Linked DNA regions of Rattus norvegicus. The main gene of each other region encodes a partner of the protein of the gene in region 3 in a complex. Links are inferred from orthologs where the notes say so. Each region holds a gene or a part of one and is shown on either strand. Other genes may lie near its edges.

Region 1 (3,858 bases), on a different chromosome or scaffold from region 3:
GCAGTCTCTGATCTGGAACTGGGCTTCATTCTCGTTGGGAATGTCCTTCCATGTGGCCAGGAACATCTGCCGGTCTACAGGGTCAACAGGGCAGGATAAGAGATAGAAGCCTAATAAAGTCTGGCCCTCAGCACCACATGGCAGTGAAGGAAGGCAGGCACCTGCTCCTCCAGTTCCCTCCAATGCCCTCTGCTTCCTGCCCCTCCTTTGCCTGACGAGCATCTGACCTCACTGTCTTCTCCTCTGCAGTTTGTTACACACGGCTCTGGGGCCAGTGGCAAAGGTGAGTGCCCGCCACACAGCTTCCAGGCATGGTGACTGACTTGGTTCTTTGCAGCCCATGGACGAGCATAAGGGTGAGCAGCAGCGCTCACAAGTAAGGTGGCACAGGCCACCTGCAAGCCAGGTAGGAGCAGCTGAAGACCCCCTCATAAGGCAAAGCTGTCCTTCTGGCCCTTATGTCAGGGCACTCGTCCCCCAGGCTCCCTAGCTGAGTCCTACTACACGAATCCCCATGGCCTCAAACTCACCCATCTTCCCGTCCTCCACGAAGAGGACATGCAGTGGGTACAAAGTGCTGAAGTAGAAGACGTCAATGTTGTTCTTCACAGCCACCTAGGCATGGGGGTCTCCAGTCAGTCCCCGGGCTTGACACCCTGACTCTTGGGCTTATCCCACCTCCTAGGGCCCAAGCAGGGTGTCCAGAGCGGGTTTCTCACAGGACCTCCCTTGTGGCCATGCCCTTTGTCCCCTAGCCCAGGTTCCAGCTGTAGCCGAGGGCACCATTCTCTCAGGCTTCCTGCTTCCTGGCTGAGGTGGGTAGAAATGGGGTGTCTGGCCCTGTGGGGACACACCTGAAGATTGTTCAGAGGCTCCATCTTCATGACTGAGCCCACCGTGTTAAGAGGCAGGGAGATCTCCACCGTCTGGTTGGGGCTCAGTGGGGCGTGCACTTGGAGTGGCGCAGCGGGGGCCAAGCCAAAGCTGAAAAGAGAAGCCCGACAGGAGCTTAGAGGGTGTGCAGGGTGATGGGTGTGCAGGGTGATGGGTGTGCAGGGGGATGGGTGTGCAGGGTGATGATGGGTGTGCAGGGGGATGGGTGTGCAGGGGGATGGGTGTGCAGGGTGATGGGTGTGCAGGGGGATGGGTGTGCAGGGTGATGATGGGTGTGCAGGGGGATGGGTGTGCAGGGGGATGGGTGTGCAGGGGGATGGGTGTGCAGGGGGATGGGTGTGCAGGGGGATGGGTGTGCATGGTGATGGGTGTGCAGGGTGATGGGTGTGCAGGGTGATGGGTGTGCGGGGTGATGGGTGTGCAGGGGGATGGGTGTGCAGGGTGATGGGTGTGCAGGGTGATGGGTGTGCATGGTGATGAGTAGAGCTTCTTCACCAAGTCAGCCTTTCCTGAGCTCATGACCACCCCTGCAAGAGCCTGGGTCCAGCATGACTTCTCTGCTGCTTTTTCTCCTCTGGGCTGGTTCTTGGTAGGCCAGGATAGCATAGCCCTCCCTCTCCCTCAGGACCTCCACCCAACACCAGGGCCTGAACGACGTTTCTCGATGGAAAACTGCCAGCCTAGATACTGCTAAGACCCATAACTCAAAAGAGGGCTATGTCTGAACTACAGCCGGCAACGCAATACAACACTACACGTTGTCCCAGTGGTGTGCAGGGAAACCTGAGCTGAGCATTCAGTATGTCCAGGGCAGCACATGGCAACAGGCCAATTTCCATCCTGGTAAAAGTCAGAATGCACAGTTCCGTCTTCCTGATGAGAACACAGACCCTTAGTGAGGAACAGCCTTACATCCAGCTTCCAGCTCTTACAGGGTGAATGGCTGCTGAGAACTGAACTATACTCTTATTTAGACTTGCCTAGCATCTAGAGGGAAGCCCAGGCCTGCCATCCTTGTCAGGTTTGCGGACTGTCACAGTTCTTGGCCTAGGATTCGCTCCCCAGGAATGGTTAACTGTACGGAGGCTCGTTCTAAGCAGTCATGCCCCTCTGGCCTCTAGTGTCCTGCGAATGGAGAGGCAGAGCTGCCTCGCCTCCCCAATCTCTCCTGAGGAAGCTGCCCCTTTAGTCAGTTTCTTAGAGGCTCAGTTTGCTCATCACTGGAGACACTCAGGAAGAGGAATCATCAGGAGGGGCTGCCACGGTTCCAGAGAGCCTGGCCTTGCTGCTCACCATGCCAGCACCTTTCCTCACCAATGTGTAGTACTGAAAACATGGGGGCTGGAGCAACAGGGAGCTTGGAGCAGCTAGTACTCATTCTCAGAGCAAGTCCTTGTCTGATGAGAAAACTTGGGCTGAGCACTGTTTTGCCCTCAGGGGAGCCTGGCTAGCAGGCCTACTACCCAACCCACTTTTTCAGAGCTGTTCCCCAACAGAAAAGGGACTCAGGCCTGGGAGAAGAGGCAGGAGGGAGGTGTAAGGCACCTCCAGCGGGGGGCTGCTGGCTTAGGGCAGTGATTTCTGACACAAAACTATCCTTTGGTTAGTAGAGGGCAAGTTGATGGGGATGCCCTGTCCACTCTGCCTGGTGCGTTGAAGTCCACACAGTGGTCAAGACACTGCTGTTGAGTCTGGCCAGGACTCACCTGTTCCGATTAAACTGGATAGCGAAATCTGTCATGACCTGCAGGGCCTTGTTAGTCAGCTGCAGATCCATGGAGATGGAGCCAACCTGCCGGGTGAAGGTGCCAGAGATTTCCAGCCCCTTGGCCTTCATGGCAGGGAGCCAAACCTGTAGGAAAAAAGGTGGGAGGAGTTGTGTGCCTCTTCCCCACCCAAGAGTCATAGCTAGCCTGGGACCCTTTTTTTCTTTCCTAAAGAGTCTTCTGATCAACCCATTTCTACCACTGAGGCATGTTATATGTACCCCGATGATAAAGCTAATAGTGTAGCCCACCCAGGGCCAGCATCATGGTATAGCTGTATATCAGAGAAGCTGAGGACAAAAGGGACATCTTCAGAGGTCAAAGAAGGCAATACTGAGGAAGAAGGTAAGCTTTGCCAGCACCCCGACAAGCCAAAATCAGAGCTGAGACCCAACAGCATTCTAGATCCTGGCCACAGCCTGAACCTTCCTTGGCTGTCACAGCCCGAACTCTCCTTGGCTGTCACAGCCCGAACTCTCCTTGGCTGTCATGGCCTGAATTCTCCTTGGCTGTCACAGCCCAAACTCTTCCTGCAGGAGATATGGCTGGCCTTCCACTGAAGACACTGGCCTGACCTGATAGTATGGCTAGTACAAAACAAGTTCTCACCTGCCAGGGTCCTGGCTGCCCCTAGCAGGCCGAGGAACAGAATTCCTCCATCAGGAAGCTCGCATTCATGAGCTCGTATACCTCTCCTCCTTACTGCTGCCCAGAGACTGTTAAGGGAAGTGTTTTGATGGTCCATCTACATCTGCGGCCTAGGGTGGCACTGCTGTGCACAGGGTGCTTGCTAACTAAATGGCAGGAATCAACCCAAGGCAGGTGGGGAATCTTGAATAAAAGACAAGCCACCCCAGTGGTAATAGTGCTGCGAAGGAAATACAGATGACTTGCTGCTGCTTCTGCGGGGACCAGCGACTGAGGAGGTGAGAAAGTCCTCTCTGGTGGCAAGGACTCTCCCTCCAGAGCCCGCCTGATTACTTCCAGCTCAGTCCCTGAAGCTCTCCTCACAGCACTGAGTGTGACCAGGTACCTCATCTCTACCAGACTGGCAGTGATGTCATCAGTTAAGGCCAGCTCATGGCTTCTCAATCCTTGAGTACCCAGTGAGTACCAGGCAGCAGGATCTTCCCTGTTTCATCCCTGTGACATCAGTAGTTCTTGTTTTGAGATCCTTCTGCCTGTTAATGCTGGGGGT
Region 2 (3,976 bases), on a different chromosome or scaffold from region 3:
ACTTTGCCATTATGTAACCAAGACAATTGATTTTTCTAAATAATGTTACATTAAAAAATTAGGATCCAAATATCAGAGTCAAAGGCTGTGAAGGAAGACGGTCAGAAGATACTTAAGGGTTGGTGCTTTTCAAGATCTGCCATTATCAACAGTGTCCTCATGTGTTAAGGCGTCATTAAGATTTTGAGTAATTGGGGCTAATACCTTGGATTGTGTGGCTCTGTTTCCCCTCCCCTGCTGTCAGAGTGGCCTCCGCTGACTCCCTGGCCCTTCTCTGGGGCCTGCTGCCCACTCCCATGATGAGCTTGCAGCTTGGGCTCAGTCGTGGCTGACAGCACTGATTGCGCGCAGTACGCTCTCTGCTCCTTTTATTACAGACAGTAATTAAAGCAGCTCGCCCTGCCACTTCCATAACAAACACAGCATAATGCCCTAATTATGACTTTATTAATTTAAGTCAGGATTTAATGATTTTAAAAGTGATTTATATTGTTTTTCCTGTTCAGAACAAATGAAATCTGTAGGTTAAATTAATACAGGCTTTTCATCATTGCAAAGTTAAAAACCTAGTTACCAGGAAATTCTTCTCATTAGGTTAACATCTGAAACTCTAAGCAGTAAGGTAAACAATAATTACCATCAGAATTGAGTGATGCATAATAAAATAACACTTTTACCTTTAAAATCTTATCTGCAGTGCCAGGAGTGACGTTTCCTTAGAGCAGCTCGCCTGCTGCAGGAGAGAGGCCCTGGCTTGCGGTCCCTGGCGTGTGAGGACACTGCTTGGCTTTCACATCAGACTAGCTGTGCTGGGCTGATCTGGTTTGGGAAAGTGCTTGTTTCTAGATGTGTTCCTCAGCATAGCAGTGTTTCCTCAGATGGCACGTGTCACCATGATATATGCTTTTAATCACATACTGGCTTCATATCTTTTTATGTTTGAATTCAAAGTAATCGTTACACCAAAGTGAGCCACAGTGACAGTCCAAGCCGTTCTATTTGCAGGTCTGTGTTTTAAACAGTGGATTGGGGACAATATATATTGCTACCATTTTGTAGGAGAGAAAACAACATATTTTTCCATCTTCAAGTATAATTACATGTGCTCTGAGATGTTGCCATTGCTCCATTTTTAATAAACAGCAACATATTTCCTCCACAGAAATCAATTCTGAGAGCTATTGATCCTTCTTCCCACACTGCTCTCCTCCTCCCGTTCCTGCAGCCCGTCGCTGTAGAGTTTGCTTGTCATTTGCCCTCACCACTTTGGAAGTTCTTGATAATCTTTAAGTCTCCTCAGAAACTACTCTTTCCTAGTCACAGGCGTTTGTTACCAACTTTCAGTCTTACATTCATTACAAAGTGTCTTCATGGGAGAAACAGTAGATAGAGGGAAGGGGATTAGGACATCAGGAGACAGATTTGATTTCAGAGTTCAGGATTCCCTCTCATGTCAGTGTGTCCTTAAAGTTATTGGTTTCATTGTCGTAAGTGGGTTAATAATAAAGCCAGGAAGAGAGCATTTGCAGTAGATCATTGGAATGAAACACCTAGAACTGCCCCGCCTGAGGCAGATTATTAAAAACAAAACAGAAGACCTTCAGATAGATTGGCGTGTGTGTGTGTGTGTGTGTGTGTGTGTGTGTGTGTGTATACACCACATCATGCAGAATCCTGAGGAGGTTAGGACAGTCTTAGATTCTCTGGACTGGAAGTTACAGGCTGTTGCAAACTGCCGTGTGAGTGCTTAGAACTGAAGCCAGGGTCGTGTATAAGAGCTGTCAGCACTCTTAACTGCTGAGCTACCTCTGGCCCCTAGGTTAGTTTTACAAGGCCCACACATGTGCATACATGCATGTACACTTACACAGACGTACACCATGAGGAACTGCATTTTGGGGGACTTGGAGACAGATAGTCCATCTCAATTTTCTCTGTTCTCTTTGGGGAATAGTTTTAATTTGCCCACTCACCCCACTTCTGTTTCTCAAGTCATGTTCTTTTTCTCAAGAAGCTTCCTGATCGTGGGTATCTAGTGTAGGTGTCCCTTTGACACCTTGGGACACCTTGCTTGTATGCCTCATCACTGCTGCTGTATTTCTCTGTATGCTCCAGTGCAGCCCAGACACTAAGCTGACATGCAGGTCATCTGCGTCCTCACAGTTATCCTCTGGCACCTAGCTTGGGGCTCACAAGTTAGCAATAATACTGGTTACCTCAGTGAGCGATGAGAAGAAGCCTGTGAGAGTGTGGTGTGGAGACCCTGTCTCTAAATAAACAAGTCGTTTCCTCTGAGCCAATTAACATCTTCTTACATACATATTTAAGATCACACTTCTGTGTTTACCTTGTTGATTTTTCTGAGAAAGAAACAGAATTTACCAAATGTAGGTCCTTTCACAAAAGTCAATGTATAACCTCTTAAACTTACCAGGAAGCAATATTTGAAACCTCATTCTAAAACTCAGCCTGAGTTCTAAGAATTTCTTACTCTTAGTTCCCCAAAGTCCACCTGGCCTCTCGTAGCATTTTCTGTATGGTTACTGATTCTACCAGCAAGTGCTGTTTTGTGATTTTGCACTCGAAGTCATTCTAGCTTTCTTGGTAACACTACCTTTATTCATTAAATTTAAATTTGTTTCTGCGTGAGTGCACACTTCCCAGTGCACATTCGGAGATCAGAGGACCACCTGTGGGTCGATTCTGTCCTCCTCTGTGTAGGTCCTGACAACAGACGATCATGCTGGCCGCCCTGCTTGGCCATGGGGACCTTTACCCATGGAGTCATCTAGGCAGCCCTTATTTGGTTTTCATTCATCTCAGGATTTTTAAGCTATTACTTAAATTTTAAATTTTAAACATACGGTTTTACAGTTTATATCTCAAAATTCATCTTTATTCACAGTGCCTCAGAAGACAGGGAGAAGAAAAATGGAAAATCTCAGGCCTCGGAGTCGTCCAGTGAGGAGTCCAGTTCCACAGAAGAAAGTTCTTCAGAGTCAGAGTCAGGCTCTGACAGTGAGCCTGCACCCAGAAAAACAGCTAAGGTAAGACCATGCATGTGCTGTGGCTGACATACATGTACAGCTTGTGCCTTTCTCCAATTGATGGATGGGGTGAAGGAAGAAGGCAGATCTCTGAGTTTGAGGGCAGCCTGGTTTTCAGAACAAGTTCCAAGATAGCCAAGACTGTGCAGAGAATCCCTATCTGAAAAAAAGCAAAAACACATTTGCCGGGGGCCAGCCCCAGTGATCCTTCTGTCTTGTTTGATTTTTCTTCAGACAGTGGAGGGGTGAACTTCAGTAGGTGTGAGACGTGGTCTTACAAAGTGTTTACGGTTGCTCTTTAATAACAAAACATTTCCCTTTCTTACGTCTAAGTCACTTTGCTTCAGTAGCTGACCTGCCTTCTGAGTGTCTCTCAGAAGCACCCCAATCTTAAAACAACAGAAGATTAAGCCTTTGTTCTATCTCTGCTAGTGGAAGTCACAGGAAGTAAAAGGGACACTTTGAGAAGTGATTTTAGTGTTGATTTCTGAGTTTTAAAAAGTTTCCTATGAAAGGAAAAAGGGGATAAGCAGGATGCTTAAGAGGGGCTCTTTGTCCTCAGCACTTAGACATCTTCTAGGATACATAATCACAGGGTAGGGAAGTTCGTCACAGTTTACACATAATTGAAATCATTAATGAAGTTTACAACAGAGACTGTTTACATGCATTTCCATCGGGAGAGATTATCTGGCTAAACATCCATCATCAGTCCCCAAGCTCAAAAGGTTCATTGAAAGTTAAACACCATAACTTTTTTGACAAGGTAATTAGGGAAGTTTTGTATAGATAAACACAGGCAATATTTTATCCTTTGTCCTAGCACCTAAAATAAGTCATTAGCTCCCTTTTATGACCTTAGGTGAATGGTTTCACAACCTCTTGAATGTGTTCTGAGTAGCAGATGCCTGCTTGCTGTCTCAGAAGCA
Region 3 (4,470 bases):
TGCCACTGTTCCTATTCTATTGGCTGCTGACAGACTACCAAACTGTTGCCACTTTGAGTAAAAAAATCAGTAAAGAGGATCAGAGTGTGTGGAGGCTGGGTTCTAATCTGTCTCACCACTATCTGTGTAGCAGGACAGGGTGGTGGAACTCGGGTGACCACCTAAAAGGTCCCTCTGGAAATAAAGAGACTGGGTGTGCCTCCACTAACAAGTTTTCCAGCTTATCAAGTCACTTGACCCACCAGAGAGGGCTGTTACCTTTCAGACATTGACAAACTGCACAAGCTATTATCTGTAATCTGTATCACAATCAATACTGGACACAGACCTTGGTGTGTAATGAGGAATCCCAATGTATACACACTCCCACCCCAGCTACCTTTAGCTTCTCAGTAGGCAGTGTCAAATCTTCAATAGTAGATTCAGCATACACAAAAAGATGCTCTTGCTTGTCAAGATTTCGAATCAAAGAAATTTTCATTTTTCTCTCCTCACCATCTCTAACAATTTCATGAATATAAAAGCTCAAAGGGATTCAAGAAAGCCAACAGGGAAGAAAGACCATGAATGACATAGCAGCCTAGAGCACGCTGGGTCTAATGGGACTCACTGATGGCTCCTCAGTGCAAATGACATAGCCCTTGTGATTAAGAGTAGATTTAAACCTGTGTATCAGAGCCAGGAGGTGGTAGCTTATGTCTTTAATTCCAACTATGGAGGCAGATTTCTGAGTATGAGGCCAGCCTGGTCTCAAGAGGGAGTTTCAGGACAGCCAGGGGACACAGAAAAACCCTGCTCATCAATGTAACATTTAATTCTAAGAATCTGAAAGAAAAAAAAAAAAAAAAAAAAAACAACTTGACCCAACACTTTCAAACCATTGTAACAAGCTATTGCATGAACTTGCACAACAAGTTTTTTCTCTTGGTTAGGCTTCCTGACACTGTGTTACCATAGCAACTGCTTGTCTAATTTACCTTTACATTAAAAAAAAAAAAAAAAAAAGGTGTTTTGAAGCCTGTCTGGTCCTGGGCAGAGGAAGCAGCCCATTGGAGTGAAGATTGTGGACATCCATTCTACAAGGTGCAAGAGGTGTAGTGGACATCCCAGCTGCATGATTTTACAATTAGAACTGTGTGTGTGGGGCACAGAACTAGTTATTGCTACTTTCCTCTCAGGATGAGTAGACTGAGTATGAGTCAGCTGTTATTCACACTGTCTTAAACCTTGTGTGCAGTGCTAGAGACCAAACCAAGACTTCATGCAGGCTAGAAAAGCACTCTACTATTCCGCTCCTAAACCTTTTTGAAGTAGCAATTCTGTACATCTGCCTCACAAACAAGAGAACAATGTGATGATCCAGTGACTCAGACCCATTTTCAAACCTAAGGCTAAGTGATCGACATTCCAATGAGGGAAACCTTTATGCTGTGGAGACAATGTAACTCCAACAATGTAGCTCCCACATCTGCGATTGGCCCTTGACCACAGCAGAAACCAGGTAGTAATACTGTGCATCAAATCTCACAGTCTAGGCTATTTCTAATAGCCCTGCTAAAAGCTCAAAGGTGAGGACTTTACAGTCACCCATGTCAGACACTGTAGATACTGGTTAAGACAGTGGAGAGACATGAGGCCAGCACACAAAGCACCATGGCATCTCACCATTCTGACAGTCACAGCAGAAAACACCAGAATCAGCCTGCAGGAAAAACTGCTGACCACTACTACTTGTGAAACAAGAACTACAACAGACTACTCCAACATGGGTTGTGGCATCAACTACTGGGCCCTCCAGTGACTTCTGGGACCAAATGCAGCTGACCCTTCCTTTCCTGACAAAGCAGCCACTTGCTGTTTGAATGGGAGAATTCCTTCTTGATGCAAGCAGATTCCCTGGCATTTAGTGTTTGTTATATGTGGCTAGACCACATAACATATGTACATTACAACCTGACATGGCATGACCATCCTGAATAGACAGCCAGAATCCTGTACTGGATCTGGCCTCTGTACCTGCATATTGCTCAGAGGCTGGGAGCAGGTTATTCCATGGGCAGGTTAAAGATTCTCCAATTCAGAATGGCCTTTTCTAATCCACCAAAAGCATAAAGGGAGTCAGCCAAGAGGCGAAATAACGCTCAAACCCCTCCAGAGGCCACTGGGCTCTAGAGTGCAGACCCCATTGCAGATCTCATCGAGGGTATGCGGGGCCAAATCACGGCTAATTGGGGATCACAGTGGGCATTCTGGGATCCCCTGAGATCCGAATATGTGTTAAATCCCAGCACCCGGTCATCAGTTCCGAGTCCCTGTCCGACACCTGTCCCTTTCCCTTCCCCCTTCCTACAACTTCGGTCCTCTAGGCCGACAGGAACAGGACTCGAGAGACAGAGGAGGAAGACCTCGACACCCGAGTGACCTTGACGCCGTCTCAGGGCCACCCGAGCCTCAGTTTCCCCAGGCCCAAGGCTCATGCCGTTTCTGAAGCTGCCGGTTAGCCTTTAAGAAGGGAAACTCCGTGACCCCCGAGCCCTGCTCCCCGCAACGGGCTCCCGGGCCGTGGAGCCTAGGAAGGGCGCAGAGAGGAACAGCAGGAAACCTGGCTTCCTGGAGAAGAGCCGGCGTCCTGGCCGGACTTCCGGGCTGCGGCCCGCGGCGGGCGGCCTGGCGTAAGGGCCGCGGAGTGGGGGAGGGCCAAGCGGCCGTGGGCGACGCGGGACTTGGGGGCGCCCTGATCTTCTGTCCGGCCTGCCGCCGAGCCCACTGAGCACAGACCTCAGGCCGCCCGACCAGACTCGGTCCTTAGCAGCCGCAGCCGAGAGCCCCGCGATTCCCACGATGACCAGCCCGTGGCCTCCCCAGCTTCGGCCTCAGAGAGCCCCGCTTCTCACCTCCGCGGCGGCTGCTCCCAGCCAGGCGTTGGTTTCGCTCCCACAAGATGGCGGCGCTGACGGCAGCCACGTCAGCGCCTGCCGCGGGGCACGCCGGGGGAAGAGGGCGGGCACGCAGGAGGCCCCGCCCCTTCACGAATAGCGCTTGCGCGTCTGCACCCTGACGCCTTCGTTGGGTGGAGCCAAAGTCGCTCTGTTTCCGGATCGGGTCCCGGGCTAGCACACCGGCTCCGGAGATTAGAACGCGCAAGGGTGTGGTGCATGGATTTCCCTGTCCTACGGCGCGTGCGCACGCGCATCTTCCTGCGGAATTCCAGCCCATTCCGCGGATGCGGGGGTTGAGGCCAGTAAGCGTTCTAGAGCGCCAAGGTCAGAGTGGGAAGGTCGTGTTACCCCTGGGAGTGTGATGTCCTTCTCAGAGTACCCCAGGGTCTCTGATACTTCAGCTGAGTCGGGGCATTGAAGAGAATGATGTAACAGACAAATGGCCAAAGTGGGAAGAAGCACAGGCCAAATGTCAGACAAACACCATGTCCCTACACTCGTCTTGGACCCGTGTGCACACTCAGAGCTGACTGAGAGGACTAGAGACCTGTGCGGGCATAGCACTGCCTGAGAGGCTACTCTGGGTTGCCCCTAATGGGGTGGCCTCCTTCAGGGTGCAGGAGAGAAGGTGGAATCCGTTAACTCTCCCCATCTGTGCTGGAGTGAGGCCCAGGTTCTGTCCTCCCTGTCCAGTTCTTCCACTCCATGTGCTGTTGTGAGGACTCCCACAGGCAGGAGATTTTGAGGGACTTAGGAGATTCTTTTGAGCCTGGAGCCTTATCTATTGAGTTGGCAGGAGGCAATTGTGTTGCCTGGGCTTACTTCAGCCACTGTTGTGTCAAGACACAGGGTGCAGGGCATCCTCACTGCGTTTGCGGGTTGAGACCTCTAGAACCCTCCCCAGAGTTGTGAGCCTGCCAGGATTCTATGCAATAATCACCTTCTTGACCCTAAACGCATCCCTTTCCATCACTCAGGGCTCCATTTTTAAATGCTGCTTCTGTAAATTTCTCTGGGGGCACCTGCCTGTTCTCTCCCACCCTCAGCACACAGCAAGTGTTTGTGAAAAACATAAGGTGGTGCTGCCTATACACACCCTGGAGAAATGGCAGGACGTTTCCAGAGGCCTGAGATTTCAGCCATGTCAGAAGCCTGTCTTAGCCACTTCATGGATAAGGAGACAAAGAAATGGGGTGTCTAGAAAAACCACAGGTTCATCAAGAACCAAACTCCCTTTCTGTACCTAAAAAGGCAAAACTGAAGAAGTAGAGACAGGGTGGTAGTCCTCTTTATCCTAATGTCACCCCTATACATTGTAGTCCTACTCAAAAAGTCACCTGTAGGGGCTGGGGATTTAGCTCAGTGGTAGAGCGCTTACCTAGGAAGCGCAAGGCCCTGGGTTCGGTCCCCAGCTCCGAAAAAAAAGAACCAAAAAAAAAAAAAAAAGTCACCTGTACCACATAAATAATTATTTGTGTCAGCTAAAATTTAAACAGCCATTGTAGATATTCACTATCTGCATGTGTCATGG
Region 4 (3,976 bases), on a different chromosome or scaffold from region 3:
TACCAGCGCATCCAAGGTCGTGAACTAAGGACCAACGATGACCATGTGTCCCAGGTGCAGGCTGTGGAGCGCATGATTGTTGGCAAGAAACCGGTAAGTGACTGGGGTGATAGGAGGCATCCTTGTGTGGTAAGTCACTGGCCTCCTAAGCCCCAGATTCCCCTTACCTATAAAATAAAGTGGGAAATATGATAATTCCTTAGGAATCATGGTATAGATTTACATAAGTGCCTTTAGTTTATTGCAAACCATTCCGACCATCAGAGGTGTGGTATGAATATTTTCTTTTTATCTAGGTAAAGAGAGCCAAGCTGTAATAGCTAAGAAGATACCCTATTGCCAGCAAACATTTATGACTGTCTTACCAGTGATCCCAACATTTTGCTGTCTTTAGGGGTACTCAAAGATTAGTGAGGTTCCCAGACAAAGACACAAATAAAACTTCTGCCTCCTAGTCTAATTTAGAGGAACAGAAAGCAGGGAGAGGCCATTTTAAGTCAAAGGAAGTCAGAAAGGCTTCTTGGAAAATAACTTGGGAATTGTGGTGTGAAAGAGGACAAAATTTAGCTGGCCTGGGCAAGAAAGACATTTCAGACAAGAAGGTTCTAGAGGGACAAAGACAAGGTAGCAGAAAAGCTTAAAGGACTTAGTTGTTTATATTCTTTGTGTCAGAGTGACAGATATGCCTTGTTAAGGTACCAGAGGCCTGAAACTGATGGGGTGGCCTTACTGACCACCACTTTTCCACACCTGTCCAGGTCCTGTCGCTCCCTCACCGTCGACTGGTTTGCTGCTGCCAGCTCTATGAGGTGCCAGATCCAAATCGCCCCCAAAGGCTGGGGCTGCATCAGCGGGAGGTCTTCCTCTTCAATGACCTCCTTGTGGTATGGGCATTGTGCAGAAGGAAATGGGAGGGAGATAGCAGAGCTGCTGGGTCTAGTGCAAACTGTGTTGTGTGCAGTGTGCTTGGTACAGTGCTCCAGCATGCCATCTGCATGGTCTCCAGTAAGGTCTCTGTCCCTCCGTTTCCTTCATTTTGATGTAGTGAGAACCACACAGGGACATTAGTAGGGGGCTAATAATAGATATGTAATCTGGGAAGTGGTAGGAAATGTCCCTGCCCACTGCACCGTAGCACAGTTGTGAATCTGTGGCTCTGGGAACCTCTCAGTTTTCTTGATGTTGGAAGTGATTAAAATGAAGCATACCACTGGTACAGAGATACCCACCTTTTAGTGATAGAATTTGTTGGATTCTACATATCAAAAGGGATTTTTCAGGATTTCCTAGGCAAGAGCTACTCTCCAAGATGGCTTAGCCCCAACTGCTTGAATCTGGTTTTTTTTGGGGGGGGGACTGCTTTTTGTTTTGTTTTTAAAATAAAGAGTCTCACTGAATAGCTCTGGCTGTCCTGTAATTTACTATGTGCACCAGGCTAGCCTCAAACTCACAGAAATCTACCTGCCTCTGCCTCTTAGCTAGAATTACAGGTGTGTGCCAATACACCTGGTTCGAATCTGCCTCCTGATGTGGTTCGGTCTTACTTTACATTCTCCACTGTTTCTTGGGGTCACAAAGAGCAAATATTCTCCCTCTGCTCCGAGACAGTACTCCTGAGACCAGCAGTCTTGTTCCTTCTTGGTATTTTCATCTTCACATTAGCATTTCTCTGTCTTGTCACTACTGTTGTTATTTTGAGGCAAGGCAATTCTTTCTTGCAAGGGTCTGTCTTGTGTATCGTAGTATGTTTAGCAGCACCCTGGGATACCTACTAGAAGGGAGCAGCAAACCTTCAACCAAAAATGTGTTCTCTAGAGAAAAGCAGAAAAAGAAATAGAAGGGGAAGGGTGGGAGGGGAAGGAACATCTTCAGGGAAGAAAAGGTGGAAGGAACAAAAGTAAAGAAAGCAATGTCTTCTCCAGATGTTGTTCTGTATCCTATGGAAGCAGCTCAAAATCATCTCTAGTTGAGAATCATGAGTTTAGACAACATACCTCCAACACCCTCTGCAAACCTTAGTGTCTTGCTTCATGAAATGGTGCTAACCCTTATCTCCTAGAGTTGTCAAGAGGATGAAACAGGAAGTCAGTGCCTGACAATGCAGTTCAGCAGTAGAGTGCTTACTTAGCACTTGCAAGGATCTGGGTTCCATTCCCAGCACTATAAGAGAGAAGAGGGTGAGGAAGAGATGATTCCATCTCAAACCAGGTGTGCCTGGCCCACTCGGATGCTGAGTCCCTGTTAGATGCCCTTCATGTACCAACACCCCTGTTTATCTAGCTCTGTTCTAGGCACCGAGTACATGGAGATATATCCATAAGCCTTTGTATTCAAGGACTCACAAACAAATGGCCTAAAATGCGTTTTGCAACATGGTGTGCTGATAAACTCCTATAAGCATTTGGGAGGTGGAGGCAAAAGGAACAGAATGTTGAAATCAGAGTGGACTACATGACAGAGGTCTAGTCTCAACCACCCACACCACACCACTGGAACCAATCTAAACCAAACCTTTGAAGAGCCATTTGTAGTGGATGAGGCTGTAGCTTAATGATAGAGCAATTGTCTGGACCCAGGTTTCATTCCCCAGCAAACAAAATACATGGAATAAAATAGCCATTTGTAGATTGTCCAACTTAAGTTAGGGATGAATCTAAAATCTCTACATACTTGATAAAGACTTTTGGTCATTGAGAGATCGTTAACCTTGTTCAGGGGCGCTGCAGAGGTTGTCATTATAAGCTAGTTTTGGATGGTGGGAGTTGGGGTAAGAGAGAAAACCTGAAAACTAGACCCACCAAACCCCCTGCCCTCCAGGCTAGCAGGGGCAATCACATATTTAAATCTGACAAGGGAAGAGGTATGAGAGCAACACCTTGGAAGCTCAGAAGATGGAGACAGAAATCTATGTGAGGTATTAGGACAGGCTTCCTGGAGGGAACAACATTTAGTTCCTTTAAGAGTTGCAAATGCTGGGGTTGAGGATTTAGCTCAGTGGTAGAGCGCTTGCCTAGCAAGTGAAAGGCCCAGGGTTTGGTCCTGGGGGGGGGGGTCGGGAAAAAGAGTTGCAAATGCTTGTTGTGCATGGTCATGATATCACAAACTTGCATTCTCTCCCACCTCTCCACTCCTAAAGTTTCAGTTCTTCCTTGTGGGTATATGTGCTCATGTGCATATGCCTGTTACTGGGAATAGGTGGGGAAGATGGTTACTAGAAATGGGTATTATTTGGAAATCCCCCACCCTAAACCTTGCCTCTTATCTTTTTCCCACCCTTGTTTGCCAAAGGTCACCAAAATTTTCCAGAAGAAGAAGATCTTGGTGACATACAGCTTCCGTCAGTCCTTTCCCCTGGTGGAAATGCATATGCAGCTCTTCCAGAATTCATGTGAGTTCCCTCTTGAACCCTAGCATGCATCCCAGGGGGGGACGGGGTTATCAGAGCCCATACTCACCCTTCAGCTATACTAGCTTCCAGCCACTGAAGTCCTCTATAGTTGGGGGAAGGTCCCCAAAGGATCTACCGGTTTGAGGATGAAAGGAAGATTAGAATGGAGTATGATTTGGGTGTGACTCCTGGAAAACACAGAACAATGTTTGTGTGTTCCTTAGTAGGCAGAAGAGGTCGCAGTCACACTGTGCTTGGAAGTCATGTATTGAGAAGAGCATGATTGGGTATAATTCAAGAGAGCAGAGTCACTGTGAGAGACAGAGAGACAATGGAAAAGGTTTCTAGAAAGCAGTTCAGAATTTGCCTTTACATCTTGGAGTATAAGGAATAAGGTTGCCATGGCTACCAGGAGTTTGGGGACAAAGGGAAACCACTGAAGATGCTTGAGCACAGAAAAGGCGTTTCAGAGTTGGGTGCTACAGAAATCATCTCCAATTGGACAGCGTGATGTGTGCCTGTAGGACAGCATTTGAGAGGCAGAGACAAAAAAGTTGCTTAAGCACAGGAGTTTGAGATTAGCCTAGC

What was found.
Region 1: the proteins of Arf1 (region 3) and Ap1b1 are in contact, whole or in part, in a cryo-EM structure (PDB 7R4H), measured with the Homo sapiens proteins. The link is inferred for Rattus norvegicus from reciprocal best matches to the Homo sapiens genes ARF1 and AP1B1. Residues at the interface, in NP_001019397.1 of Homo sapiens: Glu17, Met18, Tyr35, Ile46, Thr48, Ile49, Gly50, Phe51, Asn52, Val53, Glu54, Thr64, Trp66, Lys73, Leu77, Arg79, His80, Tyr81, Gln83, Asn84; in NP_001118.3 of Homo sapiens: Asn23, Asp25, Pro52, Asp53, Val55, Asn56, Met58, Gln59, Met83, Ile85, Met86, Ala87, Val88, Asn89, Thr90, Val92, Lys93, Tyr121.
Region 2: the proteins of Arf1 (region 3) and Ap3b1 are in contact, whole or in part, in a cryo-EM structure (PDB 9C5B), measured with the Homo sapiens proteins. The link is inferred for Rattus norvegicus from reciprocal best matches to the Homo sapiens genes ARF1 and AP3B1. Residues at the interface, in NP_001019397.1 of Homo sapiens: Glu17, Arg19, Tyr35, Ile46, Pro47, Thr48, Ile49, Gly50, Phe51, Asn52, Val53, Glu54, Lys73, Ile74, Leu77, His80, Tyr81, Asn84; in NP_003655.3 of Homo sapiens: Glu52, Asn54, Pro81, Val84, Lys85, Val87, Ala88, Asp111, Leu112, Leu114, Leu115, Ile117, Ser118, Thr119, Gln121, Arg122.
Region 4: the proteins of Arf1 (region 3) and Iqsec2 are in contact, whole or in part, in a crystal structure (PDB 6FAE), measured with the Homo sapiens proteins. The link is inferred for Rattus norvegicus from reciprocal best matches to the Homo sapiens genes ARF1 and IQSEC2. Residues at the interface, in NP_001019397.1 of Homo sapiens: Arg19, Gly24, Leu25, Asp26, Ala27, Lys30, Thr31, Ile46, Pro47, Thr48, Ile49, Gly50, Phe51, Asn52, Val53, Glu54, Thr55, Thr64, Trp66, Asp67, Val68, Gly69, Gly70, Gln71, Lys73, Ile74, Pro76, Leu77, Trp78, His80; in NP_001104595.1 of Homo sapiens: Arg810, Gln811, Gln841, Arg845, Val846, Gln847, Gly848, Glu849, Ala850, Gln851, Val853, Glu854, Glu858, Asp879, Phe882, Ile883, Phe886, Ala887, Ile889, Leu890, Asn892, Thr893, Asp894, Tyr896, Ser897, Pro898, Ser899, Val900, Arg904, Met906.

The regions. Positions count from the first base shown.
Region 1 is NC_086032.1:84,138,323-84,142,180, reverse strand, and holds part of Ap1b1 (AP-1 complex subunit beta-1), read right to left. Parts: intron 2,747-3,858; coding exon 2,601-2,746; intron 2,162-2,600; exon of another isoform or gene 2,065-2,161; intron 985-2,064; coding exon 855-984; intron 616-854; coding exon 531-615; intron 75-530; coding exon 1-74. UniProt on the Homo sapiens protein: Subunit of clathrin-associated adaptor protein complex 1 that plays a role in protein sorting in the late-Golgi/trans-Golgi network (TGN) and/or endosomes.
Region 2 is NC_086020.1:27,453,088-27,457,063, forward strand, and holds part of Ap3b1 (AP-3 complex subunit beta-1), read left to right. Parts: intron 1-2,905; coding exon 2,906-3,047; intron 3,048-3,976. UniProt on the Homo sapiens protein: Subunit of non-clathrin- and clathrin-associated adaptor protein complex 3 (AP-3) that plays a role in protein sorting in the late-Golgi/trans-Golgi network (TGN) and/or endosomes.
Region 3 is NC_086028.1:44,511,057-44,515,526, forward strand, and holds the start of Arf1 (ADP-ribosylation factor 1), read right to left. Parts: upstream 2,939-4,470; 5' UTR 2,895-2,938; exon of another isoform or gene 2,603-2,894; intron 1-2,602. UniProt on the Homo sapiens protein: Small GTPase involved in protein trafficking between different compartments. Modulates vesicle budding and uncoating within the Golgi complex. In its GTP-bound form, triggers the recruitment of coatomer proteins to the Golgi membrane.
Region 4 is NC_086039.1:24,806,958-24,810,933, forward strand, and holds part of Iqsec2 (IQ motif and SEC7 domain-containing protein 2), read left to right. Parts: coding exon 1-93; intron 94-758; coding exon 759-884; intron 885-3,288; coding exon 3,289-3,388; intron 3,389-3,976. UniProt on the Homo sapiens protein: Is a guanine nucleotide exchange factor for the ARF GTP-binding proteins.